2 linked regions of the Macaca fascicularis genome follow. The protein of the gene in region 1 interacts with the protein of each later gene in a pairwise test. Links are inferred from orthologs where the notes say so. Each region holds a gene or a part of one and is shown on either strand. Other genes may lie near its edges. The genes, in order: HDAC6 and ERBB4.

The links.
Region 2: the proteins of HDAC6 (region 1) and ERBB4 interact in a protein complementation assay, tested with the Homo sapiens proteins (2 studies listed by BioGRID and IntAct, with this or other methods). The link is inferred for Macaca fascicularis from reciprocal best matches to the Homo sapiens genes HDAC6 and ERBB4.

The regions. Positions count from the first base shown.
Region 1 is NC_088395.1:48,957,920-48,973,730, forward strand, and holds the start of HDAC6 (protein deacetylase HDAC6), read left to right. Parts: upstream 1-2,794; 5' UTR 2,795-2,813; coding exon 2,814-2,999; exon of another isoform or gene 3,000-3,135; coding exon of another isoform or gene 3,136-3,147; exon of another isoform or gene 3,148-3,528; intron 3,529-3,635; coding exon 3,636-3,758; intron 3,759-3,843; coding exon 3,844-3,972; intron 3,973-4,101; coding exon 4,102-4,190; intron 4,191-6,706; coding exon 6,707-6,791; intron 6,792-6,900; coding exon 6,901-6,941; intron 6,942-7,686; coding exon 7,687-7,783; intron 7,784-7,927; coding exon 7,928-8,025; intron 8,026-10,002; coding exon 10,003-10,107; intron 10,108-10,227; coding exon 10,228-10,296; intron 10,297-15,811.
Region 2 is NC_088386.1:107,196,327-107,212,137, forward strand, and holds the end of ERBB4 (receptor tyrosine-protein kinase erbB-4), read right to left. Parts: intron 8,761-15,811; coding exon 8,713-8,760; intron 7,920-8,712; coding exon 7,622-7,919; intron 4,823-7,621; coding exon 4,377-4,822; 3' UTR 605-4,376; downstream 1-604. UniProt on the Homo sapiens protein: Tyrosine-protein kinase that plays an essential role as cell surface receptor for neuregulins and EGF family members and regulates development of the heart, the central nervous system and the mammary gland, gene transcription, cell proliferation, differentiation, migration and apoptosis.

The sequences.
Region 1 (15,811 bases):
CATGTTGGCCAAGCTGGTCTCAAATTCCTGACCTCAAATTATCTGCCCACCTAGGCCTCTCAAAGTGCTGAGATTACAAGTGTGAGCCACCATGCCTGGCCAGTAATCTCCTTTTTTTTTTTTTTTTTTTGAGACAGGATCTCACTCTATTACCCAGGATGGAGTGCAGTGGCACAATCTCGGCTCACTACAACTTCTGCCTCCCCTCCCAGGCTCAAGCGATCCTCCCACCTCAGCCTCCCAAGTAGCTGGGACTACAGATGCACACCACCACACCCAGCTATTTTTGTGTTTTTTATTGAGACGGGGTTTCGTAATGTTGCCCAGCTGGTCTCGAACTCCTGAGCTCAAGCAATCTGCCCTCCTCAGCCTCCTGAAGTGCTGGAATTACAGGTGTGAGCCATTCTGCCTGGCCAGTAATAACCTCTTGACTGAAATCTACACACTTGATCTTACTATCTATATGAACACAAGCTCTGAACCTATACAGAAACACCTGTGACTCAGTACTGGCCCACCTGATTTCTTTGTAGGAAGCTGTCATAACATAGGTCTAAGAAGCCCCATCCTGGCCCCGAACGGTGGCTCACACCTGTAATCCCAGCGCTTTGGGAAGCTGAAGCGGGCAGACTGCTTGAGTCCAGGAGTTTGAGACCAGCTTGGGCAACATGGCAAGACCCCATCTCTATAAAGAAAAAAAAATTAGGCAGGCACGGTGGCATGCACTTGTAGTCCCAGCTACTCGGGAGGCTGAGGTGGGAAGATAGCTTGAGCCCAAGAGGTTCAAGCTGCAGTGAGCCGTGTTCACACCACTGCACTCCAGCCTAGACAACAGGGTGAGACCCTGTCCCGTCTCCAAAAAAAAAAAAAGCTTAATCCTGAACTTGTACAGGAACAGGAACCCATAGTCTGGAGCTCTCTAGAAACCCCTGCTTGATTCAGTAAAGGAACAATAATATAGAAACCATAGGAATCCCTGGAATCCCTGTCCTCACTCTGTCTGATCAAGAGGATCAGGGGGCACATTTGAAATGACCCACCAGAGGTACACTAGAAGTGACCTGACCCTGCCCATGAATCCCTGTCCTCACACACCTCACACAAAAGGAGAAAAGGCCCCTTCCCTCAATCCTGTAAAAGAATCCCAGCCAGATAGAGACGATCAAGGCCTGACACTACAGCACAGACCGGCAAACTACGGCATTCAAGCCAAAGCCAGACTGTGGGCTGTTTTACATTTTTAAGTTGTGTTTTAAAAAGAGAGAGAAAAAAAGAAAAATGCCACTGAGACCGTATGTGGCCTGCAAATCCTAAGATGTTTACTCTCTGTCCCTTTATAAAGTTTGCTGACCCCTGCTCTACAGAAACCTCTCTTCTGATCCAACAGAAAAATGGGCCTTGACCCTTTGCAAGACTCCCTACTCTTTTAGGCTGCAGGTATCACAACTGTAAAATTTTTTGTACTGTGTTATCATTGTATGTGTTTTCTTTGGTGAGTGTAGGGGTTTAAAGGTCTTAGGTCTGCAACTCTTTTGCGCTGAGACAAAAGATAGGTTCAGGTAGGAGGGGTGAAAGGGAATCGGCGTCAGGAACTGCCATCAAGAGGATTAGAGGGCACAGCTACTGGGCGGTGAGACCGTCAATCTGTCAGTCTGATGCTGAACCCTCGAACTGCTTATCTCTCCGGTCCCAGCTTATAGCCTGGTAGGAAATGGTGGAGAATGAGAGAGGGAGATTAGAGGACAAACCGGCCTCCTGCAGAGCTGACATTCAGACACGGAGTGGGAGTTGCGGGGGAGACAGGGTGCCCAGGGACAGCTCCCCAGACTCACACACACTTTCTATTACTGCTTGGGAGCAGTGGTTACCCGTTGGAGGGGGCAGATAGGGAGAGCTGCTGCCCATGAGAACTCCCCTCCTCAAGTCCATTCTGGCCCTGGGCACTATTATTATCACAACTTTCCAGATGAGGAAACGGAGCACAGAGCTGTTCAGTAACTTGCCCAAGGTCACATGGTTAAGTCCCGTAACCTCAGTTTCCTTATCTGCAAAGCAGTCTTAATAATGGGAACTACCTCATAGAATTGTGGTTTACAACGATGCCTGTCACATAATACTTGCTATCATTACCATTCCCTGCCCCCACTAAGACTCCTTCCACCCAGAATATTGCGGCAGAATATTAATAGCTAACATTCGGCGAGCGCTTCCTGTGTACCACCGTAGTGAATATTAACTTGGAAAATCCTCACAACATTTAGCATCGTCACCACGCCCATTTTGGCCGCCGCCAGCCAAAATCCAGTGGCAACCTCGCTCTCGACCCAGCCACAACCAGCCCGCCCGCTCTACGTCATCAGGGCGTGTCGCGCGGGAAGTCGCGGGGAAAAGAGAAGACGCCCCTTCCTAATTCCCTCGCTTCCTTGCTTCCTTTCGCGACACCGCCGGCCCGAAGGGCTCTTAAGTGACTGGACAGGGACGGAGGGGCGGCGGCTATGGCATCCAGGACGACAGCGACGGTAGCCGAGGCACGGGAAAGCTTGCGCCTCAGTCCCGTTGGGAACTGCCGGCGCCTGCGTTTTACGCAAGCGCAGCACAGCTGGCGTAGCACGCCGACGCACCGCCCCGACGCCTGTGAGCTCGCGAGAGGTGTGGCTCAGCACAGCTGGCGTAGCACGCTGGCGCGCTCCCCCGCCTCGCTCCCCCGCCGCCTGTGAGCTCGCGAGAGGTGTGGCTCGCGCGAGGGGCGCGGCCTTGAGGCACGCTCCCCTCTGGAGGCGGGATCTGGGCGGGCAGTCGAGAGACCAGGCCCAATGGAAAAGAAAGGCCAGGGCGCTCGCGTCCCCACGGGTCGCCAGAAACTTGGCGGAGCGAGCCAAGGGCGGAGTTTGAGAAAGGGGCTGCGTCCAGTGAGTGGAGCGGCGAGTACAGCGCGTCGACGGCGGAGGCGGGAAGGGGGCGGAGGCCGACCGAAGGCGGCTAGGGACTGGCTGAAGGGGGTTAGCGAAACGTTAGCGGTCGGGTCTGGGCAGGGGGTGGAGCTGGTTGAAGGAACGGGGCAGTCCCCTGAGGAGCGGGGCTGGTTGAAACGCTAGGGGCGGGATCTGGCGGAGTGGAAGGTACCGGTCCGGCCCGATGAGGGGTGGAGTTAAGTGAATCGTTAAGGGTGGAGCCGGGGCCGGGGCCGGGGCCGGGGCCGGCTGAGTGAGAGGGTGGGTGATTATCCCGGGAGGTAGGCCGAAAGGGCAGATTCGTGAAGGAATGGGGTCTGGGCCGGGCTTAGAGGGTCTGGGAATGGGGTTTGGGAGAGTGGAAGGGGCGGTGATTGGTTGGAAAGGGCAGGCCCTAAAACGGACTGAGTGAGCCAGGGGGCTCATTGCTCAGTGAAAGGGCAAGACTAGGGAAAGAGAATCCTGTAAAAGGGGTGGAGTCTAGCGGACCGGGCGGGGCCAGGTAGAATGGCCACCTGAGTGGAGGGAGAAGGCCTGAGAGAGGCGGAGTTTGGAAGGCTGTGGAGAATCAGATCGTGTAAGGAATGGAATCTAATAGAGGGGGCGGAGCCTGGAAAAGGGCAGAGAGGTGGGGTCCTCAGGGCACACTAGCCCCCTCACATACCCACGCTCCCACCTCTCCAGAACCGCGGCAGGGGTCAAGCCTCCTCAACTATGACCTCAACCGGCCAGGATTCTACCACAACCAGGCAGCGAAGAAGTAGGCAGAACCCCCAATCTCCCCCTCAGGACTCCAGTGTCACTTCGGTGAGGCCCTAGACCCGCCCTCATGAGGGGGAGAGGGAGCAAGTTGGTCATTCCCTGGACTCTGACCCTTCTCTCTGATTCACAGAAGCGAAACATTAAAAAGGGAGCCGTTCCCCGCTCCATCCCCAATCTAGCGGAGGTAAAGAAGAAAGGCAAAATGAAGAAGCTCGGCCAAGCAATGGAAGAAGACCTAATCGCGGGACTGCAAGGGATGGTGAGCAGGGCCTGGCTGCAGTTTAGACTCCTATGACAATCAAAACCCAAAGGTTCCCAACCCTGGACAGTTCCCTCTGACTCAGGGCCTGAAATGGATCTGTATGTCCTTTTTTTTTTTCCTCTGCAGGATCTGAACCTTGAGGCTGAAGCACTGGCTGGCACTGGCTTGGTGTTGGATGAGCAGTTAAATGAATTCCATTGCCTCTGGGATGACAGGTGAGGCTGGGTCCTCCAGGCTGTCTCCAAAACACAAAAATACACACATTTAGAGCCCATTAGCAAGAATAAATCCTTTCTTACCCCAGCCTGGATACTGGAAGCAGATGATTTGGAGAGGTAGGGCTCACACTTGAAAGGGTTCTTCTGTGTAGCTAACAAACATTTATTGCCTATTGTGTGCCAAGAGTTGGTGATACAAATGTACCAAACAATAGACAGGGTCCTTTCTCTAGGAGCGGATTGATGAGTAGGAGGGCAGATCATTAAACAGCCAAGAGCAGTATGATGTGTTTAATGAAAACAGACTAAAGACCAGGGGATTCAAGGGTGTATAAAAGAGGATCCTAAACTAGTATCCAGGCTTCCCAGAAGGCTTTATAGAGGAAGAGACGTTTGTACTGAAACAGAAGGATGAAACCTCCCATTTGCTTTACTTTTCAAAAAGAATCAGCAAATCTTTTTGACTATATGTTCTGACCTCTCCTCACCACCTCCACTGCCACCATCATCATCACTCACCTAGACTTGCAGAAGCCTCCTCCGTGGTCCCCTGCTTCCAGCCTCACCTCTATTGTCTGTTCATGCAGCAACCTAAAAAAATATGTATGAGATGATGTCTTTGTTAAAATACTTTAAGGAGGCCGGGCACAGTGGCTCACGCCTATAATGCCAGCACTTTGGGGGACCAAGGCAGGTGGATCACTTGAGGTCAGGAGTTCGAGACCGGTCTGACCAACGCAGTGAAACACCGTCTCTACTAAAAATACAAAAATTAGCCAGGCGTGGTGGCACGCACCTGTAATCCTAGCTACTTGGGAGGCTGAGGCAGGAGAATCACTTGAACCTGGGAGGCGGAGGTTGCAGTGAGCCGAGATTGTGCCATTGTACCCCAGCCTGGGCAACAAGAGCAAAACTCTGTCTCAAAAAAAAAAAAAATTGCTTTAAGGGCAAACTGTTGCCCTCAAGGTAAAGTCCAAATTCTTCATCGTGGCCTCGAAGGTTCCACATGATCTGGCTCCACATCACTTTGTGACCTCATCAGCCAATCCTCCTCACCCACACTAGTCCCCTTGTTCTTCCAACATGCCAGGCACCCTCTTACCTCTGGTCTGTACCCTGACCAACCCCTTTCCCAGAGATTCTTTTCGGTCTTCTCTTCCAGCTACCTTTCACATCCCAATGAGACTTTCTCAGAGAAGGTTTTGCCTGACCAAACCCTACCCCAGTACCTGATCTTATTTTCCTAGCCCATGACATTGTTTGCTAATTGTCATACTTGTGTGTTTACCAATTAATATCTATATCCCTTATCCCAACCTAAGAGTAACTTACTATGGGAAAAGACTTCTTTTATGGAATACCTATTTACCATCTATTGAGGAGCTAGGAATGCAGCAGTAAACAAAACAAACAAAAGCCCGTGCCTTCAGGGAAAAGGGGGAAGACAGACAATAAATAAACGAAAAGTAAATGATGCACTGTGGTAGAAAAGGGCAGTGTTATGGAGAAGCAGTAAAGGGAGGATAGTAGGAGAAAGTACAGTGGAGGAGACTTCAATTTTCAATACGCTGGTCAGGGCAGGCCTCACTGACATTCGAGCAGGGATCTGAAGAGGTGAGGGAGTAAGTCATGGAGACAGTTGGAGGAAGAGTATTCTAGGCAGGGCTGGGGGGGCAGCTAGAGTAAAGTTCTAGGGCTGGCTGAAGAGTATTTGGTTCGACTGAGAACCAGGGAAGAGACCAGTGTAGGTGAAGCGAAGCAAAGGAAAGAAAGAGGGGTAGGAGATGGGGTCAGAGAGGTGATGCAGAACAGACAGTTTTGGGCCTTCTGGGCATGGGAAGTACTTTGGCTTTTACTCAGAATGGGATGGGAGCCTCAAAAAAAAAATGGGACATGAACTGATTAGGGTTTTAACCAGTGTCTGGCTGTCATGCACAGAAAGGACTGTTGAGGTGGCGAGGGTCGAAGCAGGGAGGCCGAGGAGATGCCACCACAGCCCAGGCAGGAGGGTATAGTAGTAGCAGTGGCAGTGGTGAGGAGAGGGTCACACTCCAGAGCTGATGGAAGGCAGGACTGACACCACAGTTTTGTTTTTTTTTTTTTTTTTTTTTTTGAGACAGAGTCTCACTCTGTCTCCCAGGCTGGAGTGCAGTGGCCGGATCTCAGCTCACTGCAAGCTCCGCCTCCCGGGTTTACGCCATTCTCCTGCCTCAGCCTCCCGAGTAGCTGGGACTACAGGCGCCCGCCACCTCGCCCGGCTAGTTTTTTGTATTTTTTAGTAGAGATGGGGTTTCACTGTGTTAGCCAGGATGGTCTCGATCTCCTGACCTCGTGATCTGCCCGTCTCGGCCTCCCAAAGTGCTGGGATTACAGGCTTGAGCCACCACGCCCGGCCTCACACCACAGTTTTGGGGTAAGCAGCTGTGGAAGGGTGGATGGGGAGATGTGGAGAGAGCAGATGTGGAGCTCCCCAGTGTCCCCATGCATCTGTGACTGTGTCTCCATCTCCCCAGCTTCCCGGAAGGCCCTGAGCGGCTCCATGCCATCAAAGAGCAACTGATCCAGGAGGGCCTCCTAGATCGCTGTGTGTCCTTTCAGGTAAGGCCCCCAAGCCAACACTCTGGGTAAAGGGCAGGGAGCTGACCTGACCTGGGCTCAGCCCATGCCTTAACCCTTTATCCCGCCTTTATTCCTCATCTCTCCCCAGGCCCGGTTTGCTGAAAAGGAAGAGCTGATGTTGGTTCACAGGTGAAGGCTTGGGAGCCTTGTAGGGATGGGGAGGAGCCTGCCCTGGACAAACCAGGGCAAGCTAAACGCTTTGGGAAGGAATGTCATGGTCTCTGTGGCCAGCCTTGGGCAAGTCGCTGAGCCTCTCTGAATCTATGTCATCGCCTGTAACAAGGGAACCAGTAAACTTAAGTTCCTCAGGAGAGTTCGATGTGTGTCAGGTGCTTAGAACAGGGCCTGATGTATCATCAGTCCATCATGAGCTATTACTGTTATCATGATCTGATTGAACAGATGGTGGATGTGTGGACAGAGTGATCGGGTGGATGTGTGGATGTGTGGACAGAGTGATGGTGGGTGTGTGGACAGTTTCCCCAGGGGCTGCAGGAACCCAGATTTAGAGGCCTGGTGCTGTGTGGCTCGAGGAAAGCTAGCTTGGCAGAGTGGGTATCTGAGCTGAGCTTTAAGAGGAGAAAAAGAGTGAGTCAGATGAAGAGGGTGACTGAGGGAAGGGAAGAACAGACAGCTAGACAAGAGTGGCCAAAGGCCTGAAAGTAGGATTTGGTATGGCTAGAGCAGGGGAGCAGAGAATATTACTGGAACTGAGGCGGGCTAGGGAAGAAACAGAATGTATCTTAAATCCCGGCTATTCCTTCAGGTTGACAGTTGGGGGAGCCGAGCCCTAATTTGACCAGGGGTTTGGTGTGTGGACGGCTCAGGTGGGGAAGAGACAGGGCCCTGAATCTCATCTCCCATCTGTGTCTAGCCTAGAATATATTGATCTGATGGAAACAACTCAGTACATGAATGAGGGAGAACTCCGCGTCCTAGCAGACACTTACGACTCAGTTTATCTGCATCCGGTATGGATGAGAACTGTGGGGGCAGGGAATGGTGGCAATCTTGGGGTCCCTATCCCTATGCCCACCCTACCCTGGGGCAAGCAGCTGAGTGGATAGGGCTGTTCTCTCCCTCACTCCCTCTCTGGCTCCCCACTGTCTCTCCAGAACTCATACTCCTGTGCCTGCCTGGCCTCAGGCTCTGTCCTCAGGCTGGTGGATGCGGTCCTGGGGGCTGAGATCCGGAATGGCATGGCCATCATTAGGTAGGACTCTCCAGCATTTGACTTTTTACATTGTTTTAAAGTCCTTCCTTCAAGTGTAAAATGTATTGATATGGGTAATATATTCATGTGATTCAAGAATCCAAAGGTACAAAAGAGAATATAATTAAAAATCTGTCTCCCATCCTTGTCACCCAGACACCTGCCTCCTCTCATGGGAGGTAGTCATTGGAACCACTGACTCATGTGTCCTCCCACAAAGTCTTATTCAAGAAATAAATACCATATTTCATTGATTCTAAGGTGTACATTTTTTCATATCTGTAACATCTTGAAATCCAGATGCATCTTACAAACAGTGACATCTCAGAATTCCATTGGCAGTATTTTCTGCTTTGTTTTTGGCATGTAAAATCATGGTACATCTTATCATCGTTGGCATCCCAGAATTGATGAAATGCAAAAGGTTTCTCCTCCCTCCCCTGTTTTTTTTTTTTTTTTTTTTTTTTTTTTTTTTTTTTTTTTTTTTGAGACGGAGTCTCGCGCCGTCACCCAGGCTGGAGTGCAGTGGCCGGATCTCAGCTCACTGCAAGCTCCGCCTCCCGGGTTCACGCCATTCTCCTGCCTCCACCTCCCGAGTAGCTGGGACTACAGGCGTCCGCCACCTCGGCCGGCTAGTTTTTTTGTATTTTTTAGTAGAGACGGGGTTTCACCGTGTTAACCAGGATGGTCTCGATCTCCTGACCTCGTGATCCGCCCGTCTCGGCCTCCCAAAGTGCTGGGATTACAGGCTTGAGCCACCGCGCCCGGCCTCCCTCCCCTGTTTTTAACCACAAATGGTAGTAACACGACATACTCCCTTCGTACCATCTTTTCACTTACACATCTTGGAAACCTTTCTCTGACAGCATGTATCTTGGAGCCCGGTAGAACACCATTGTGTAAATGTACTCTTTGTTAATCAGCTCCCGACTAATGGGCATTTTGGTTCTCCTCAGTCATTTGCTGTTTTAAAAAAAAATGCTACAGCAGGCCGGGCGCGGTGACTCAAGCCTGTAATCCCAGCACTTTGGTAGGCCGAGATGGCTGGATCACGAGGTCAGGAGATTGAGACCATCCTGGCTAACACACTGAAACCCCGTCTCTACTAAAAAAATACAAAAAACTAGCCGGGCGAGGTGGCGGGCGCCTGTAGTCCCAGCTACTCGGGAGGCTGAGGCAAGAGAATGGCATAAACCTGGGAGGCGGAGCTTGCAGTGAGCTGAGATCCGGCCACTACACTCCAGCCTGGGCGACAGAGCGAGACTCCATCTCAAAAAAAAAAAGAAAAAATGCTACAGCAAATATACTAGTACCTTTATAAAAATAAAATGTTATTTTATACTAACATAAAATAAAAATGTTACTTCACCCTTTTTAAAATATAGGTTGTGGGCTAAGTTCCTGCAACAGAGTGACTGGGTTTGAGAATGTATGCATTGATCATTTTATTTTTATTTTTATGTATTATTTATTTTTTGGAGACGGAGTCTTGCTCTGTCACCAGGCTGGAGTGCAGTGGCGCAATCTTGGCTCACTGCAACCTCCGCCTCCTGGGTTCAAGTGATTCTCCTGCCTCAACCTCCCGAGTAGCTGGGACTACAGGCGCCCGCCACCACATCTGGCTAGTTGTTTGTATTTTTAGTAGAGACAGGGTTTCACCATGTTGGTCAGGATGGTCTCGATCTCTTGACCTCGTGATCCACCCGCCTCGGCCTACCAAAGTGCTGGGATTACAGGCGTGAGCCATCATGCCCGGCCTTTATCATTTTAATGAACATTTTCAAATCTCCTTTGGAAACAGGGGTAGATTGGCAGGGGGTGAGAGTTTGAGGGGCTCCATTACTCAGTTCCCAGCAGATTTTTAGGCATCAGCATTAAAGGAATTGGTGGTCCAGGATTAGAGAGCAGGGGATAGTATGTCTCTGAAGAGGAGGACCCCTCACACACTCCAGGCTGTTACTTTCTTGTCTTGCCCAGGCCTCCTGGACATCATGCCCAGCACAGTCTTATGGATGGCTATTGCATGTTCAACCACGTGGCTGTGGCAGCCCGCTATGCTCAACAGAAACACCGCATCCGGAGGTCAGCAGCAGAGGGCAGATGTGATGGGGGTGGCATGGGGTGGGGTGTCCTGCTCTGGGCTCTTCCCCCAGATTCACCTTGATCCCCTTGCACAGAGTCCCCTCTCTCTCCTGCTCCTAGGGTCCTTATTGTAGATTGGGATGTGCACCACGGTCAAGGAACACAGTTCACCTTCGACCAGGACCCCAGGTATACCCCAACTCCCACCTAGGTGCTAGACTCCCAGCCACCTCCCACCCTTACAGGCCCAGCCAGAAGGGGTCCAGAGGGAGGAAAAAGCATTCACATTCATGGGGCCTATCCTGGGATCAGGATCTGTGCTACTTTCTGTGTGTCTGCCGTCTCTCCTAATTTCACTCTGAGGCAGGGACTGTTGGGTTCCCCATTTTACAGATAGGGGGACTGAGGCTTATAGGTTAAGAGGTCACACAGAGAAGAACTGGGAGAGATGGGATTTGACCCACAAATATTTGAAGATCTTATTCACTGATTAACCCTTGAGCTGGAGTGAACCTCAAATTAGTGCTTTATTTTTTCTGATTAGGATAATGCTTCAAATTTGTTTATCCTTTCAGTAGATAGTAAAAAATAAATATAAATAAATAACAAACTATTTGTTTAAAGAAATTAAATAATACAGAAGTGTCTGAAGTAGTGAGTCTCCTCTAATTTCCATTACCTCAAAAATAAGTGTTGACAGTTTAGGTTATATCCTTACAGATTTTTTTCTACAGATGTCTGAATTTTTATTATTATTGTTATAATTATTAATAACACTGCCTAATGGAATAATTCTCCCCATGTTCTTCGACAACTTGCTTTATTCATTTAACAGCATATCTATATCTGGGACATTTCTCCATGTTAGTACCCCTTAAAGTATCTTGTTCTTTGTAGTATTCAATTTTATGACTGTACTTCTGGTTATTTAACACCAGGACTTTTAAGATGCTTCCCAGTTTTTGCTATTACAGGCACTTCTACTGTGAATAGGCTAGTAAATATGTAATTCTGCACTTCTCTAAGTCTATCTGTAGGATGAATTTCTAACAGTGGATTGCTTGGGCCAAAAAGTCAGCATACTTTAAAGTCTGGTATACACTGTCTGACTTCCCTCCAGGAGGGGACCAGTTTACCCTTCCTGCAGAAAGTGATTGAGCAAGTCCTTGTGAGTAGGGGACATTACTAAGTACGGGTTGATTATCCCTTATATGAAGTGCTTGGAACCAGAAGTATTTCAAATTTCAGATTTTTTCAGATTTTGAAATATTTATATTATATTTAGTGGTTGAGCATCCCTAATCTGAAAACCCAAAATCCGAAATACCCCAGTGAGCATTTTCTTTGAGCATCATGTTGGCCTTCAAAAACTTTAGGATTTTAGGGCCAGGCGCGGTAGCTCATGCCTGTAATCCCAGTACTTTGGGAGGCTGAGGCAGGTGGATCACCTGAGGTCAGGAATTCAAGATCAGCTTGGCCAACATGGTGAAGCCCTGTCTCTACAAAAACACAGAAAAATTAGCCAGGCGTGGTGGCACACACCTGTATTTCCAGCTACTCAGGAGGCTGAGGCAGGAGAATCACTTGAACCCAGGAGGCAGAGGTTGCAGTGAGCTGAGATCACACCACTGCACTCCAGCCTGGGTGATAGACCGAGACCCTATCTAAAAAAAAAAAAAAAAAAAAAATGTTTAGGATTTTACAGCATTTCAGATTTCTAGATTAGGGATGCTCAACCTGTAGTAGTTGTTTTATCTAGCCTTCTACCCAGCTGACTACAGAGAATCCACTTATCCAAGACATTTTACATCTGAAGAATCTAAGCCGGGCGCGGTGGCTCAAGCCTGTAATCCCAGCACTTTGGGAGGCTGAGACGGGCGGATCACAAGGTCAGGAGATCGAGACCATCCTGGCTAACACGGTGAAACCCCGTCTCTACTAAAAAATACAAAAAACTAGCCGGGCGAGGTGGCGGGTGCCTGTGGTCCCAGCTACTCCGGAGGCTGAGGCAGGAGAATGGCGTAAACCCGGGAGGCGGAGCTTGCAGTGAGCTGAGATCCGGCCACTGCACTCCAGCCTGGGTGACAGAGCCAGACTCAGTCTCAAAAAAAAACCAAAAAAAAAAACAAAAAACAAAACAAAAAAAAAGAATCCAATTTAGGTTGGTTGTTCTCTAGACATTGCTTTACTATTTTCCAGCATTCAGTGTTCCTGACAGGTGTCTGCTTTTCATTCCTTTACAAGTAATCTACTTTCTGCTCTGCAAGGTTATCTTGGTGTTCTTTTTTCTTTCTTTCTTTCTTTTTTTTTATTAGATAGGGTATCACTCTGTTACCCAGGCTGGAGTATAGTAGCGAGATTATAGCCCACTGTAACCTCAAACTCCTGGGCTCAAGCAATCCTCCTGCCTCAGCCTCCCAAGTAGCTAGGACTGCAGGCATGTGCCACCACACCCAGCTAATTTTTTAAATTATTTGTAGAGACAGGGTCTCACTATGTTGCCCAGACTGGTCTCAAACTCCTGACCTCAAGTGTCCTCCCACTGCAACCTCCCAAAGCACTGGGATTACAGGCATGAGCCACTGTACCTAGCCTTGATGTTCTAAACTTTTACCCTGGCCTTTTCACTCTGCTCAGTAGTAGGTAGACATTTTACATCTGAAGATTCATGCTTTTCTTAAATTCTTGGAAATTATTCTCTATTAGATCTTTGATAATTTCTTCTTTGTTTTCTCTGTTCTCATTCTAGGACTTCTGTTAGTCAGATGTTAGACTTCCTGGGTTGATCCTCTATGTCTATCTCTTTTTGAGTTTTTTTTTTATTTATTTGAGACAAGGTCTTGCTCTGTTGCCCAGGCTGGAGTACAGTGGCACAAATGTGACTGACTGCAGTCTCGACCTCCCGAGCTCAAGCAATCCTCATGCCTCAGCCTCCTGAGTAGCTGGGACTACAGGTGCACACCAGCATACCCAGCTAATTTTTTAATCTTCTGTAGAGATGGGGTCTCACCATATTGCCCAGGCTTCTTATTTTTTATCTCATGTTTTCTGTCTCTTTTTTCTTTTGCTGTGACCTGGGAGATTTTGTCAACTTTATCCTCAAGCTCTTCTGTTGAATTATGTATTTAGATATTCTGTTAAACTCCAAAAGCTCTTTCTTCCTCTCTGTTTCTGTGCCCTCTCATTCCTGATCTTGTTTTTATAGAGTATGAATTAGAATTGCCAGCCGGGCGTGGTGGCTCATGCCTGTAATCTCAGCACTTTGGGAGGCCGAGGTGGGTGGATCACTTGAGGCCAGGAGTTCAAGACCAGCCTGGCCAACATGGTGAAACCCCATCTCTACTAAAAATACAAAAATTATCCAGACGTGATGGTGCGCACCTGTAATCCCAGCTACTCGGGAGGCTGAGGCAGGAGAATCACTTGAACACAGGAGGCGGAGGTTGCAGTGAGCCAAGATCGTGCCACTGCACTCGAGCCTGGGTGATAGAGGGACACCCTGTCTTTAAATAAAAAAAAAAAAAAAAGAAGTGCCTTAAGTTTCTTCTGTTGTCTGAATTATGTCTCTTTATTCTGAGGCTGGTTGAATTATTTTTTCTTGGTCCTTCTCTTTTATGCTGATGGTTTCCCTCAAATGTCTAGCAATCCTTATTTGGCTATTTATACCCAAGAATGAAGGCCCATTGTAGGGAGCAGAGGACTACGCTGCTGCTGCGGTGTTTGTAGATCTGTTTTCCTGAAAGGCATTTCCCCAGAATGGGGACAGGGAATGTCCACTGACAGGTTGCAACGTTAGTGAGTGTGGGCAAGTACCCGGGCATTAGATGGGATCCTGCCAGATGTCAGAACAAAGGAGGCCTCTTCTTTGGGGTAGCATCTCTTTTCCCTCAGCCTTGCCAAAGGTGTGTCTGTTCTACTTACCTTTCCCAGTCTAGCTTTGGGCTTTGTTGGTCATCTCTACTGTTTTATTATGGTGGGTTTTTAATACTTCATTAATTTTTCTGGTTTTATCTTTATTATTTTTTTCCTACTACATTCTTTATTTTGTTCATTTCTGGCTTCTGGAATTGAATGCTTCAACATTTATCAACTCATTGGCCGATCTCATTTCATCTATACCTGTACCCACTGCCCTCTTCCTGTTTTCCTTCAAAGCTAATCCCAGATACCTACCATATAATTTCTCCTGTAAATATTTCAGAATGCATCTCTAAAACATAAGTATACTTTTTTAGAAAAGCATTACCTTAGTATCAATACCTGAAAATTAACAAGAATTATTTTCTCAATCTGCCAAGGGTCTGTCATTCAAAGAATTCTTTAATATCATTAATCATTCTTTTTGTTTGAATAAATGCATAGGAGGCTATAGCTGTGTGTTCTTTCGTGGGTACACTATTGACTACACACACAGATGTGAAACATTGTGTGCACATTCAGTGCATTCTTCCTTATAAACAAACATGTGTAAACAAACAAACAAAAAGAACATGTCCATACCCTTGAATCTCCCAGCTCCCCATCTCTCAGTCTCTGAACTCCAGCAGCAGGGAGACAAACTGGACAGTCCTTAAAATGCTGTTGTGAAGACAAGGAAAGCAGATGATCTAAAACTAAGTAGTTAAACAAATAACGTTGGTGCATTGGTGATTCGGTGGGGCTCTTCAGAAGGGATTTTGTGTGCATTGACCTGGATCTGTACTGGATTTCTCCAGAAAAGAAACCTCAGGTTATCTTGGGTGCCCCCTTATCCTGCTCAGCATGAGACAGAGCACCCTGGGGCTCCTGGAATCTCAAAGTCTACTTTCTAGAAATTCATTGAAGTCTCTTATTCTCTGACATCCTTTCTTCCACTCTCTCTTTCTGGGTTGCTGTTTATTTACAATTTCTTTACTGTATTTTGACCGGGGTGGTAGGAGGGTGAGGTAAACCCGTGCTATCAGTCCACCATTTAACTTGAAGGTGGTTGAACTTATTTTGAATTTCCCTTCTGTTTTCTTTTTAAACTTAGCTTCCTTGAGTGCTAGTTCTGTTGTTTGTTGACTTTGATGGCTCTCTTTTAGAGTCAGCTTTCTTCAGATCTTTTCTTTATTGCTGTCTTCCCCGATGATTTTTTTTTCTTTTTCTTTTCTTTTCTTTTCTTTTTTTCTTTTTTTGAGACAGTCACACTCTGTCGCCCGTCTCCCAGGCTGGAGTGCAGTGGCCCAATCTCAGCTCACTGCAACCTCCACCTCCTGGGTTCAAGCAATTCTCCTGCCTCCATCTCCCAAGTAGCTAGGATTACAGGCACATGCCACCACGCCCAGAAAATTTTTTGTATTTTTAGTAGAGATAGGGTTTCACCATGTTGGCCATGCTGGTCTCCAACTCCTGGCCTCTAGTGATCCGCCCACCTTGGCCTCCCAAAGTGCTGGGATTACAGGTGTGAGCTACCGCACCCGGCCCCTGATGATAATTTTTATGTCCTACTGTGTTTCTCTTCCTCTAATGATTAACTTACCAAAAGTTTAGAACCAAGATTTATCTATCAATGTCAAAAATAAAACAATCATCCTCCACCCACTCAAGACCAGAGCTTTTGCATGTTTTTATTCCCAAATTCCAAGCTCTTTTCCCTCAATTTTAAGAATCTTTTTATATCACTTGCATTAAATTTCACAACTACATTATCAACACATTAAAATGTGACTCTTAAGTTTGTCTA
Region 2 (15,811 bases), on another chromosome or scaffold:
GATCTCCTGACCTCGTGATCCACCCGCCTCGGCCTCCCAAAGTGCTGGGATTACAGGCTTGAGCCACCGCGCCCGGCCAAGGTGGTGTTTATTTAAAAAAAAAATAAATAAAATTTTCTTTACATTTAAAAAGTGATAAAGGAATAAGAGAATGAGAAAAAATTGTTCATTGTAATGCTTTAAAGCAAGTTTTCACAAGTGGAACCATATATGCCTACTTTCAGCTAAACCCAACAAATGATAATTTTAAATGGCAAACTTATTTTTTTACTATGCAAAATCCATCCTACATTTTAATATCCTGCATTTAACTTTGCTATATTATACTTGTGGTTAGTTTTCTAGTTTGATTTATTTAATAATATTAAAATCATTTAACATCTGATAACCTAACTAAATCTACATCTTATAGCATTATCGTAGTTCTGTCCAGTTATATACATGCTTTCATGATCACCTTTTCTATTACCTTATGAACTACATATACTAGTTAAATTATCAACAATTACAGATGGATGAATAATTCCAGTTTTGAAATAAAGGTTAGATAGCACTAGAAAAACTTGTATTTACATCCTTCCCTGTCAGGCTTAAACAATTTTAATTTTCTTTTCATTTTTGATACTTCAAGAAGCACATTAATAGTCCTTCCAACTTCATCTAGCAGCAGAGCCTCACAGTTCTTTTCTTGATTTTTCCTTAGCATTGTAAATATGCACAATCTTCATGCCATGTCTTTCTTTTAGAAGGTATTAGCTCACACACTATAGCATTTAGAAGAACACTATTTCTTCTCTTAAGTTAGATATTCAGTCCTTCTCCCTAATCTACAAAAAAGAATCACTTGATTTTGGTTTGTGTGTTTTAATAGAAATTTGAGTTTTGCATTGTTTTTCATGCTAGTTTAAGAATGTTACTGGAGAAAAGATTCTCATCCTAAGCTGTGCTACTAATATTGTGCAGAAAACCAAGAGTTGCTTGGTAGTCTAACAACTTTTGTGATGCAGATGCTTTGTGGTTCTGGATCTACCCTAGATCGGAGGCCATCTTTCCTCACCTGCTTAAGTACCACTTTCTTTAGGCAATCATTTAACTGCAAAGTTTTTCCATGCCTGAAAATAGGATTGCCCAAAATAGGTATAATCTACAAAGTCGGGTGATTTAAAAAATATAGTCAGTGTAATTTTAATACTAATTTGTTTCAAATTTACATATTGATTCTGCAAATTTCAGTTGCTACAATTGGCCTCTGGAATCTGATATCCCCCCAAAGCACCTTGAAGACTTTAACTGACATTTTAAAATTCTACCCTACTGGGCTAAATAAGTTATTGTCTGCAACGAATGAAACTTTTTTTCTCCCTCTTATACACGCTGAAATATGTTTTCCCAGGGGGGACAAAAATAAAACAAAAAACACTCAAACAACTGAAGTCAATTATATACCACAGAAATCATTCAAAAGAATTATAAAGTGGTGCTATTATAAAGCATCTGGGTCATTTTGGATTATGCCTACCTCCGTCCCTAGGTATTACCCGACATGTAAAAGTCTTGTGTTCTTAGGAGGAAAGAAACTACATTCACTAAATATATTTCTGTTACCTTAACAGTTAAAAGTCTGTTTTAACTATTTATTTTTTCCTTCTCCAAAATGAGTGATTCTGCTTTCTATATCCCAGTAGAAACCATATGCATAGTGTAAATTAGAAAAAAAAAATCAAGGTATAGTATCCAAAAAGAGGGCTGTGATGACTCGGTGCAGATTTATTTAGAAAGGGAGGCTTATATTCCATTTTTCATAAGTACTGATATGAGATTCCTTTTCCTAGAGACTTCTCTGAATGGATAGGAGAGCTCTGAGTTGTTAGGTTATGGCCCCTGAATCACTCTGTCTTTAATCCTGAAAAGTTTGAGGGTGAACTTCCCTAGAAGGAATCTCACAAATCCTTCCCCTGCTCTACTGTACTTTTTCAGCTTGCCTCACTTCTTATAGCTTAGAAGAAAACCAACTCCAATGTCTTCATCATTCTTGGCCAAGGACCACCATCTGCTTTTGGTTTAATGGTGAAGTTAGAATCTAGATAGGTTAATTAGCCAGTGATGCAATATTCTTCTAGACCAGTTTATGTTTGAATAATATTACTGAAATTATCCTATTTGTCAACATCAACAATTTGAAGGATGTGTAACTTATATCCCAAATGAGTTCAAAGGAGATATGTTACAGTGCAACTGATTATATGACAGCTATTCACAAAAGAGACTATGCAATCTGATTCTTTGAACTCATAGAAAAATTAAAATGTCATTTTAATTAAATCTCCTAGATGATAGAATTTTGAAGTTGGGGATGATATTCCATTTATCTGAGTGTTTCCCACAAAATACAGTGCTTTTAGTAGACACAGTTAGATAAAGGAGATTTGGATAGATGGATGGATTTACTTATTCAGAATAGGAAGAAACAAATTTCTTTGCATTTTTTTTTCTCTAAACTTTCTCTGCCTTAATAGATATTTTTACTCTAATTAAGTAATCTTATACTATTGACTCTAATTTGGTCCCAATATTTTAACATTAGAAAGAAGTATTTTTAAAAAATCTAAATGACTTGGGGTAGAATTTTCAGAAAAGGGGGACTTATATCTAAGTTTCCTAATTATTGATGTGAGGCCCCCTTTACTTGGAAGACTCATCTCTGTCATTTGTTCCCATCCTTCATCATCAGGTATTCTTTCAAAATGATACATAATAATGATGGTTCTAGTACTGGATGCAGTATATGAAGAAAAGGAATTATATAAAGTATCAAAAGATTAGTGTGTTGGATAATAAAATAATTGCATGAGAAGATTTTTCACATTTATTTACAACTTTGAGCCAAGGACCTATCCATAAGCTTTGAATGTTTGTGTTTTTCTTTTTATTATACCAATTTATGTGCAAAGAGTTACCTTCTACTTCATATAAATAGAGTCTCATACTAGAAATTCCATGGAATTCAAGCCAATCCTTACTCGCATTCCTTCTTATGAAGTATACGAATTGAACAAATTTCCTTGCGTAGCAAAGGTGATATATGAAGATAATGTGCTGGCCTCTCATCATAGTCCCTGGATACCATTGCAAGGTTCCTAATTTGCTTGGTTTGGCGTTTCCACAGTCTTTATCTTAGCTCTTTTTAAAAAAAAATGTACTTAAATTAGTTAATTTGCTGGTTGCTTCCATATTGCTTGATTCAAAATCCAAAATGGAGTTCAGAAAAAGAACAAATAAAATTACAGCTTAAGTGCAAACTACATTTCTGAGTATCTGCCAGGTGGACATACCCAATCCAGTGTGTTTCTTCCAGTTCAATAGATTCCCTCATTGGACCAACCCTGAAAGTATCAGTAGTTTTCTTGAATCACAAAGAACTGTCTCTTAGTTTCCCTTCTACTCTTCAGACAATCAATGGCCTATCAAGTAGTGTCATTTATGGAGGAAAAAAATGTTGAAAAATGTAAAGGATGAGGGTGAAGATAATTTGATAGCATGAAAAATGAGAGCTAAAATAAAAATATTAGCCTCCCTTTCTTATTTTAAAGATTGTATACGTAAAGTAGTGGTCATTTCACTATATTAAAGTATTTCTTAAATTCTGTGAAGAAGCTTTGATGTAAACATCTTTGCGATTAGAAATTAAAGCCAAAAATTGGGGAGCAAATATAAAGGAATTGGTCAGAGCAAAACAAAATGAAAAAAAAAAAAACAAAAAGGCTTCAAAACATAATTACTAGTTATAACTTTGATGGAGATTTTTAAATTATGAAATTTGAGTTGGCCATACTTACTTTCCAGGACAGAAACTGCTGGGGAAAGAAACTGGATTCTCAATTTCAGACACTATCATATGTTTGTTATAGAAAATGTTATTCTTTTATTCTAATGGAAACTTTATTATGATTTCCAGGGATGCTAAATATGCACACATCAGTTCCTACAGATAGGAACAGATAGCATGGGTGTTTCAACCATCTGCTTAAAAAAAAAAAAAAAAAAAAAAAGGAAAAATAAAAAGAAAAAAAAGTGACAGCTAGTTTGATAGCAGGCGGTATTGCCTTACATTTTCTGGTCCTTCTCTAGCTGTTTCATTCTCCCAACCAACCCATGCAGAGAAATGAAGAAACATTGTGGTTCCGCCTATCTTTCTCTTTCAGTCTTTCCCTCTAATGTTCAAGTTAGATAAGCACATAACTATCATGGCATCTCTATCTTCCACTGGGAAGTGTCAAAACTACTGGCCTTGGGGTAGAAGGAAGACCACCAGAGAAAGACAGGGGGTGGGGAAATTGGAGCGGATGTGTCTCTCCACCTAAAAACCACAACTGAGCTTACACTACAGTATTTCGGTGTCTGTAAGGTGGAGGCGGCAGCACAGTGCCTGGCTTCAGGGAGAACTCAGAGAGGTATTCCGGATTCTCTGCCACAATAGGCCGGATCCGCCCATTCTGTTTATAAAAATATTTTGTGCTGTACTCCTGCAGGTAGTCTGGGTGCTGAAGGGTGCTCCGAGGTGGCAGGCTGTGGTTCCAGTAGTCAGGGTTGTCAAACGCTTTCTTGGCCTTCTCTGGCACAGACAGTACATTGTTCTTCAGGTAATCAGCTTTTCCCAAGGCGTTGGCAAAGGTGTTGAGGTACAGCGGCTCATTCACATACTCATCCTCGGCCTTGGGTGGACCATTGGATGCACTGTGATATTCGGGATTATCCAATGCTTGAAGGTCTCCATTTTTTCTCCGAGAAACAAAAGGGTTCTCCTCCACTGGATTCAGGTATTCTAAAGGAATAAAAAAAAATCAGCTAACCTCTACTTTCTGGAAAATATTAATCAGAGCAAAGTTATACATAATGGTTAGCTGCTTTGTCTAGAACAAAAACCCACAGATTTGTTTTCATGATTTCTCACAACTATTTGTGGATTACCATGGTCTTATGAAAAAAAGAGTAAGGGGGCCAAACATGTTTACAAAAACCAAGAAGCCAAGGAGGCCAGAATCAGAATTTCTATCTCCTAAATTTTTATTTCTTTCTAATTGCATTTGTCTCTTCTGCATATGGGGCTGATTGTTTCAATGTTCTTGTTTTCTAAAAGTTATTTATATTAGGAAATAAGACTACCTATTAGGATTAAATAGCCTTTAAATATACAGACAGCTTAATTTCTATAAAGGATATTGAAAAACCAAAGAGTCTATAGCTGAGTTCCATGCCAAGATGAATAGATGGAGTGAAGAAATCATGTTTTATTAGTCTCTATGGTTTGCTATGGTTGCCTATACTGGTAAAAAGGATTTGATTGGAGATGCTCCTGACAAAAGTTTTACACATGGAAAAGAAAGCATCAAAGGAAAAAAATTAAACTAAAAAAGCAAATCTAACAGATAGCTAACATGCCTCTAGCGGACTTGCTTGACATTACATATACTTCTACTTAATAATAAAGTATAATTATAATATTTCCATTGACCAATCATAATCACAAAATGGCAAACTATCAGCTTGAATCATATGAAACAGCCATTTTGTATATTGAAATCAGTCAATTAGTGCCTATTTTGTATGGATCAATCTAATAAATCCATCTAGTATAGGTATTGGCCTAAACGGTGCTAATAATTACCACCATTCTCCTGAATCTTAATTAATTCTTAATACATTTATGTCTATAATATAAACTGCACATAGACATATACACATATATATTGTAGGTCCTCTAAATAGTCTTCTCTTTTACTATATATGCAAAGCCCTAAGCTATTCCTATTTTGAATTCAAGGCATCAGGAGGACACAATTCCTTGTTGAGAGGCCATTCTGAAACAAACTTTCTATCTCTTATCCTTAGCCCAACAAGTAGAGAGAAAAATTCTATTAAGCCAGGATTATTTTTCTCCAAATGTATATATACAGAATAGGTAAGTATTTAGCATCATTTATTCAAGTGAAAGGGCAGTAATGAATATCCCACTATCATATATAGGACTTTACAAGACACTATCATTTCATCCTCACAATTCTGTGAAAAAGAAGTACAAGACTTATTTTTCCAGCTTTGTAGACAGAAAAATGAGATTAAGTGATGTATGCAGGATACAATTAGTGTTGGGATGGAATTCAGGTCTTCTAACTCCTCTTGAGTAATCTTCTTATTCTACTGCACTGTTTGTTATTATTGCCCCTGCAGGAGTTGGGTGAACTTTATGCTTAGCCACAAGTTTTACTTTGACAAGCATATGAAAACACTTATAAGCAATGTAGAATTTGATCTTTCTTACCAGATTTCTGAAACTTCTTAATTGAAAGAATAGGAATGTCTATACTAAAATTCTGTACTCTCTGAGTATGAGGTGAGACTATAGCAATCTTTTATAGAAATGGAGCTTAGCGTTCAGAGATAAAATCTGAGAATACAGTGTGACTATATAGGGTGACTTGCTTTTCTCTTAGCCTTACATTACCTTTCCTCAATGCGATCTACTTATATATTATCCTGATGCAAACTTGTATAGCTGTCCAATAACTTTACGGTTGAAGTGAAAATGTCCCCAGAAAAGCTGCTTCTTTGGGGTGAATCCACCAAATCTTCATAAAATCTACATTTGTGCCATTACTAGGCTACTATGAACATCCAAACTCTTCATTACATTTTTATATGTGTAAAAGTTTTATATATGTAAAAGTTTTATCTAGACAGATATATTTTAAAAGGTTATTTACAATTAGAGATCTTTAAATTTTACTTTGAAGGAGAGAACATAACCTTATAACAAGCCCTTCTCAGAGTTTCAAAATGTAGTTTACTATTGACACTAAAGACTGCGAGAGACATGATCATCATTTTTTAATAACAATCATCTATCTTCTCTATTGTGATACTGTTAGCGTAGAAGAAGAAAAGCTGTTTTGTTGCAAAATTGAAGCATTATTTGATTTGGGTGCTTAACATTTCTACTACTAACTTTACAAAATTATTGTTGTGCTTTGTAAAACCACAAACTATTATTTTCAAATCTTGATGGTATGCTTGTAAGTATATACAGGGTCAAAACTTTAATTTTTGAAAAATGTCATATAAAAACATAATATTTTCCTATAATAAACTAGGTTGTTTAAATGACACCTTTTAAATGAGTCAAACAAATCATTTATTAGCGCCATCAAAAGCATCAGGCACATTTGCCAACAATACCAGTCTTTATGATCTCCACAATTAAGTCCAATAAAGCTATGGTCCTGACACTTTGTGGTCTGCTACCTCATTCAAATATTTCAACAAAATATGTTTAGAATAGTGCCTCTCAAGACTCATTGCTGTATGCAGATAGCCTGGGGATCTTGTTAAAATTCAGATTCCTATTCAGATGGGGCCTGCCTGAGATTCTGATTTATATAAATAATAATAAATAATGTGGATGCTGCTGATTCAGGGACCATACTGCAAGTAGCAGTAGCCTAGGCCTTTACTAGGTCACAAATGTTGTGCTGTACAGCTATCTGGCAATTTCCATTCTGTACTTTGTTTATCTTGATGGAAGTGAACTTCAAATGGCAATCATTTTTGAATAATCAGTTCGTACCTTGTTTGGGTTTGTCTCGCATAGGAGTCATGTAACCTTCCTCATCCAGCTCTCCTCGTGGGCTCCGTTCTGGGGCAAACACGGTGGGGTCAGCGCTGTACCTCTGGGTGCTACTGTCCTCTTGGACATGGGGTGCCACTGGCTTGCGTAGGGTGCCATTACAGCAGGAGTCATCAAAAATCTCAGCTGTAGCACCCTGTGCAACAGGAGCTTCTGGAATTGTGCTAGTTGGGGCTCTGTAGGGCACAGACACTCCTTGTTCTGCAGCAAAACCTCCATCTCGGTATACAAACTGATTCTGTTAATAAGAGAAACATATTTAGAGAGAAGGTGTTGTTAGAAATAGTTTAAAAATGAATGTTAATAGCCACAAGGATGTCAAAGCCAGTCTTTTAGAGAATAGTCATAGTATTTATTTATTTTTCCCTAGTGGCTAATGAATTTGAGTTACAAACTAGAAACACCTAAAATTTCCGCTTTTCTTAAAAGATAAATCATCAGAAAATAATTTTGAAGTACACATTTTAGTTTTATTAACCAACTGTAACATAATCTAATAAAAAGTATTTGATGCCCTTTTCCCACAAGTGCCTGTATTTAATATAAACTTCAAAGTGAATTTTTATGATAAATGGGAGTGTCATTATAGACAGTTGTCATTAAGAATAGAAGTACATGGATATATTTTGAATAATCCTTTGTCTTTATTGCCTTCTAAAATTCTGTGGTTATTATGAATTTGAGGCTCTAGTACCTAACCAGAGGATCATCACTATAATTCTGACTTTTTAGTACATGACCTATACTCAGGGAAGTAAAGATCACCTCCACATCCAGAAGCATAATTTATATGCGCAGGTAAATCCTTCAGATAAAAATTGAAAGCTACTGTTGATGCATGAGATCTCAATTTTATATTATCAACTGAGATAAAAACACATCTAAAAAGGCAGCTACACAATGTACAGCAAATTCTTAACTCACTGTTGGCAAAGGCAAAATGAGGAAATTGTGCAGAGACAAGAGAGAGGAAACATGGTAAGCAAAGACCAAAAATCCTAAAAGATGAAGGTTGATTGTGAAATACTTACTCCTGACATGGGGGTGTAGGCAGGAGGAGGGCTGTGTCCAATTTCACTCTAATAGGAAAGAAAAATGGAATGATGGATATAATAAGAGGCAATATGAATGAAAAAATTAAAAAAAGAAACGAAAAAGAAAAGCCACATGAGTCGTATGAACCAAAGGGGGAAAAGTGCACAACAGTGAAGCTTCCTAAGCAGTAACATTGTCTGTATTCTGACCATAAGCAAGCTTATTTATATGTTTTGAGGAAAATAGATATTTTAATTCAATCCCTGAAAAGGCAAATTATACAGAAAAAGCAAAATTTTTCAATGGATTAGAAAGTAAATAATAAACTTTCTTCTGATTAACCCTACTGGAAAGGAAAAAGTAGTAAATAAACTATTGATGTAAATAGGAAATGGTTTCCTTCTTTACATGTCAAAAGATTGAAATGGCCATATACGCTGCTGTTATTTTTTCTCTTAGAATAAATATTTCTGGAAGGAGATAGCAGGAGATTTCGATTTGCCTGCAGTAATTTTTGCTATCAAGCTACATTTATTTTTCACCACTTCAGCAAAGGGTAAACTCTTTTGCCTCTCCTTATTAAAAGGTATATGCTATTTTATCTTCAGTCTTACTTTTTTTTTTAAGTTAAGAAACAGCAGAAAATTTGGAAAATCAATTCATTTCCTGGAAACATGCTTTAGATTCCCCTTATGTATTTATAATGAGTCAAAATCAGATTCAGTTAAAGAAACAACAACAAAAATACATGTATATTTTTATAGCTTAACACTCCATCCTATGGGCTAACTGAAAGAGGGTATAAAAATATAATAAAATATGAAGGACAGTGTTCTTTAGGGTAAGGAAAAGGAGTTGTATGATACTAATTCTGTTTCTTAATTAAAAAAATACATTAAACACATTTTTTGAGAACCTACTGTCTATGTGCCAGGCACTTTTCTAGGCACAGGGATAATGCAAAACACAGACCCAAACCGCTTGATTTTATGAAGCTCATATTCTCTACAATCCAGCTTTAAGTAAACAGAGATGACTAAAATCAACCTCTAAGATACCTTACATCTTTTTTGTTTGTTTTTTTGAGATGAGTCTCGCCCTGTCGCCCAGGCTGGAGTGCAGTGGCAGGATCTCGGCTCACTGTAAGCTCCGCCTCCCGGGTTTGTGCCATTCTCCTGCCTCAGCCTACCGAGTAGCTGGGACTACAGGTGCCTGGCACCATGCCCAGCTAATTTTTTGTACTTTTAGTAGAGACGGGGTTTCATCGTGTTAACCAGGATAGTCTCGATCTCCTGACCTCGTGATCCACCTGCCTCAGCCCCCAAAGTGCTGGGATTACAGATACTTAACATCTTTTATATGAAACAGATAAATATTATTCCAGGTCACTGTTCATATGATTTAGATTCACGAAGCATTCTAAGAAGAATATGGTCCCATGGAGATTAAGTATTTAAAGTAAATCAGTAACAACTGGATAATATAATCTCCCTTAACTAACTTAGTCTGCTGGACTAATCAAGGGACACGGTCTGAACCCTTATAGTGAGTTTATATTTTAATTTTCCCCATAACTATGGTGGCATTAGAATATTTATCTATTTTCTTCTTTAGTAACATAACTAACAACACATCAAAGATTATGACATGGAAAGTCAGAGATATATTTAATATGCAATACATAGGAGGTGCTACTGTGCAACAGACAGATCGTTTAATGACCTGGGCTTTAGTTCCAATGATAAGTAGTGTGAATTTGGTGAATCATGAAACATCTCAGACCCTCGTTTTCATTCTTGGCCTCTCTATTTTATTATTAATAAATATGAAGTAAGATAATGCATATAAATTAACTTTGTAAACTCTGCACTATTATAAAAATGTAAATATCACATTTAAATATTCATATCCACTAAATTGAATTTCTAAAATAAAGCAATCAGGATGCCAAAGCTACTCATCAAAGAGGCATTTTAAAATGCTCATCTATTTTCTAATCATCTTAAATATAGGCATGTTTTACTATATTTTAGAAATACCTGAAATCCAGTACATTTGTTCTTAAAATTTGAGTAGAGAATTTTTTATAGTCCAGTGATTTGTAATATAGAGTGACAGTACAGGAAATATGGAACTGCCTGGTGGAACTTCACCAAACTACAAACATTGGCCTTACCCTCTTCATTAAACACCAATTATTTGGCAAGTACTTCACAACTATTACTAAATTTCTACAGTAAAAGTACAGGCACTGTGGTAGATGCCAGCGATACCACGATACACTAAGAAAGACATGACCACTGTCCTTTTAGAATTTACACTATCGATTATAATCTGAGATTGTTGGAAGAAAAGGCAAGAATGAAACAAGGCAATTTATTTCAATTCTATTATTCTATATTAGAATGCAAGGTATTCCAAAATATTCATAATTACTAGTGCTCCTTTGACCTCTTACCTTGCAAAAGTTGCTGTACTGGGTAATGTTTGACTAGAATTACAGCTGAGAAATGAGTATTGATTGCACATTTTGCACTTTACAAAACCTGAGACATAAACAATCAAAGGAACAACTTACAAGTCATTCTTCATCGGGGAACAGTTTATTATCTATATTCATTATCTGGGCTAGAATGGCTTCCATTGTAAAGGCAATGGATTAAAGTAACTGGGACTCTTGCGGTTAGTCTGTTCCAAGACAGAAAGCGAGGCCATGCCCTATTAGAATGCATCCACTGTCCCTGCTTTGACAAGTCTTTCAGTCAGCAACCTGCCAACTCCATATCTGGACAAACTGCCAAATAGCATCACAGTAATAGGAGCATCTTCATGAATTTTCCTGTTTTCAGCATTAAAATGGAAAAAAATGCTAAGCAAAACCCCTTTAGCATTCATTGTTTTTAGGGTTACTGGCTGCTTTTTATGTTTCTGTTTCCATTTTTTCAGTTTGCTTTTTTATCTGTTTTCCATGATAAAAAGCACCTCATTCATTTCCCCGTGGAAGGGCAATGCAGCTCCAAGGGAACATCTGTGAGGCCAATTAGCTGGGCTGGAAATGTGATATAATTGTTGTTTAAATATATTTAAATTACATGTTAATCACGATGTCATAATTTATAAGCTTTGAAAATAACTTTTTGTACTTCAGAGCCAAGCCAGATTTTACTTGTTTTTGCTGTTTTTAGTTTGAAACAAGCTCTTCTCATTTCTCTCTCCCTCAATTCCCCACACTTGAAGAGCTGAACTTTTAATATTGGAAAGAATGACAGCTGCAAGTAAATTGGTTGAGTAAAAATTAAGATCCTCACAGCAGTCAAAATGAGCTGGAGTGACCTTAAAGTTCTAAGCAGAACAAAGCAATGCTCTCAGTTAAAAGCTTTTGTTTTTCCATTGTGCTACTTTCTGCTGTCCATCAAAGTCCAGCTTTGCAGATCTTTAGGAAGCAGCACTGGGTGCATCTGTTCAATTAGCTGGTGAGGCAATTTACTGTCAGCAGGGCAGAGATAGAAAGACGTGGGTTACGAACTGGCAGGTGACACTGAGTTTGTTCCTGGTGGGGGGCGTTTGTAAGGGTGATGGATGGAATGAGTTTAATTCTGTGGCCATATCACTGGGACATTGTATGATTAACTTGGATTTAAATGCCGGAGATTACAGAGAAGGCAAGTATCAGCAAACAAATCAAATACAGTATTAAATGCACTTTTAAATACATCATGTTCTAAAATTTACTTTTTTGTTGAATGATAAATATTAGAACCTTTGTCACATTTTATGCACAGTATTTCTTATATTTGTATTGTTTATAGTGTTCTTGAGAAATTTTAATTATTAAATAGATGGACTGTATCTCGTGATATTTAAAAAAGTTATTATACAAATCTACTTTCAGAGGAAACAAAAATACAGGCCTAATGCCTAGCTTCTATCTAAATTAAACATGTGATCAATGAGAGTCATTTTCTAATCTTTAAATAACTATTACTTTCAACAGTAATTATAAGATTACAATTTCTAGGTTCAAGAAATACTCCAAATTCTTTTGACTAAAATAAAATGTCTCTATAAGACGTTGCTAATCCATCAGCACTAATTTATTATCTAGACACTTCCACATAGTGGAAGTATTAAACTATTAAAGGTTCTCAACCCTTTATCCTCCCTGACATATCTGCTTAACACTCTGATAGGCATTTCCACACTTTCAGAGGTCACAAGGCAGCATACAGAAAATGTTTATTGCATTAGGTTATTATAATTATTGTATTATAAATTATAATTCCTGATGCATGGTTGTAACTCTGCATCTTTCTCACAACTGAGTTCAACATACCAGTGTTTTGAGACATTTAGATTTAGAACCTTCATTTTTCACAGGGCAATCAGAAGGAAACAAAGAAAATGTGTCCATATGTGCCAAACCCAAAAATGGCTGGGAGAAGTCTATTGAGATTTCAGCTGCTGGCTGAATTTTATATATATTACACATAATATCTTTTGTCTATGTATACATATATTTATTTACTCATTTTTCTATTTGGTTTGATTCTGTGGGACTATACTTTTTTGAACAATCTCTCTTACTCTGCACACACACACACACACACACACCCAATAATGACTCTATGGTCCAGTTGAAGAAATATTGACTTGGGCTCTTATTCTTTTTTGTTGCTGTTTGTTTTTCAAGACGGAGTCTCGCTCTGTCACTCAGGCTGGAGTGCAGTGGTGCGATCTCGGCTCACTGCAATCTCTGCCTCCCAGGTTCAAGCAATTCTCTGCCTCAGCCTTCCGAGTAGCTGGGATTGCAGGCTCCCGCCACCATGCTTTGCTAATTTTTAGAGATGGGGTTTCACTATCTTGGTCAGGCTGGTCTTGAACTCCTGACCTCGTGATCCACCTGCCTCGGCCTCCCAAAGTGCTGGGATTACAGACGTGAGCCACCGTGCCTGGCCAGCTCTCATTCTTTATTCACTCATTAATCTTGGAACCTTTCATCTTTCGTATATGTCTCATGTACTCATTTAATTAAAAAATTTAATAAATGGAAGCTATGAGTGGTATCTGTAAATATGAACAAGAGTCAGGACAGAATTTACAAAGCATATGAAAATGGTGTCTTCTATAATGCTTAATAATCCCACTTTTCTTAAGTCAGTCCTCAAAGTCTACTTTATTTTGAGTCTATTCTGTTTCATAGATGAATACATGATGACTCTTAGGGAAATTAAGAAATAGAAAGAGAGGCCGGGCGCGGTGGCTCAAGCCTGTAATCCCAGCACTTTGGGAGGCCGAGACGGGCGGATCACGAGGTCAGGAGATCGAGAGACGATCCCGGCTAACACGGTGAAACCCCGTCTCTACTAAAAAATACAAAAAAATAGCCGGGCGAGGTGGCGGGCGCCTGTAGTCCCAGCTACTCGGGAGGCTGAGGCAGGAGAATGGCGTAAACCCGGGAGGCGGAGCTTGCAGTGAGCTGAGATCCGGCCACTGCACTCCAGCCTGGGTGACAGAGCAAGACTCCGTCTCAAAAAAAAAAAAAAAAAAAAAGAAATAGAGAAACTAACATATATGTATACACACACACACATATATATATATATGTATTATGTACCCACCCTATACGTTGGACTATTTTAGGTTTTATGTATTCTCATAAACTTGCAAGGTAAATAGCATTATTAAAAATTATAACTCTCATTTTATAGACAAAAAAATTGAGGAGCAGAGAAATTAAAGGATCTGCCGTGTGCACACATCCATAGTTGGCTATCTGACCACAAAGCCCGTCACTCTATGACCTTTACATTATACCGCACATAGATTTTGACTTTAGCATTTCTATTCTTACTCATCTTTGCCCTCTCTCTTCCTTTGTATTATGCTTCAACTATTTTCTCAAATTCTTAGTTTCTTTTTCTAGTTTTAGTGAAAAGAACTTAATGACTTAAGTAGGCACATCGAAACTCATTACCTTAGGTATAAAATGCTGATAATGCATTACAGTATTGCTCCACCCCACTTTTCACTTAAATTAGTTACAAGGACATAAACTGGAAAGAAGGAAACTTTGAGTATTAAGAGTTAATAGGGTGTGTGTGTGTGTGTGTGTGTGTGTGTGTGTATTTTTCCATTCTTTCTTACAAGTCCTTTTTATCTAAAATCATATTGTGTATATATACATTTACCTACCTCACCAAGAGCAAAGCCAGCCCTGAAGCAGGAAGAGACAATTTTAAATAACTGGAGAGCACAAAGATTTTTCATGACAGCACTCCTGATTATGGATTTATTGTTCCTAGTACAAGGCTTAGTCAATAAATTCTTCTTCCTGCTTCACTGAGGGTAAGTAAGCTATTGTATCCCCAGGCAGCAATTCCTGTACCCTTTCCAAATATCAGTAGAACAAGAGGATATTTCCTTTTAAAATATTCATGGCTAGATGAGTCAATAAAATGAAGCTGAACATTCCCCTCACTTTACAGGTTTCTGCTTTAAGTTGCTTCTTTGAGCAATGTTATGTGATGGAATCAAAGAATATTATTAGCACAGTCAAAAAAGAAAGGGCATAAAGAAATATAATTTTCCACTAATGTCAACATTCCTTAGCTTCATTCAAGATAACAACAAGAATTGTGTCACCCTTCTTGAGATTAGTTATCACACAGAATTGATTTCTTTACCCTGGTGCAAGTTCTAAATTTTTGTATTGTTTGGTTTGTTCTAGCAACTTTCTCTTTTTTGGCATGTTTATATTCATTTTCATTAGCATGTTGTGATAATTGAACCTTTTCCTAATTATCACTTAGCTACTAGCTAATGCATGTAGCTAGAAATCTAAAGAGGAGAACTTCTAGGAGTTTCTCAAAGACTTCTCAGTAATTCTTTTCAGTTAGAGAGGGTAGGCTATTTTTCTTTTCTTTTTTTAATGTATGCTTAAGAACATCTAGTTCTAATGCAATGTCTTTAAGAATAGAAATGAGATCATCAAGCCTTAACTATGTATAAATTCTGGAGTAGCCTGATTCTTCAAATGAATCATGAAATTGTCTCTGCTTGTGTGGTTTTTATTCCAACATCATAAAGAGTATCTGA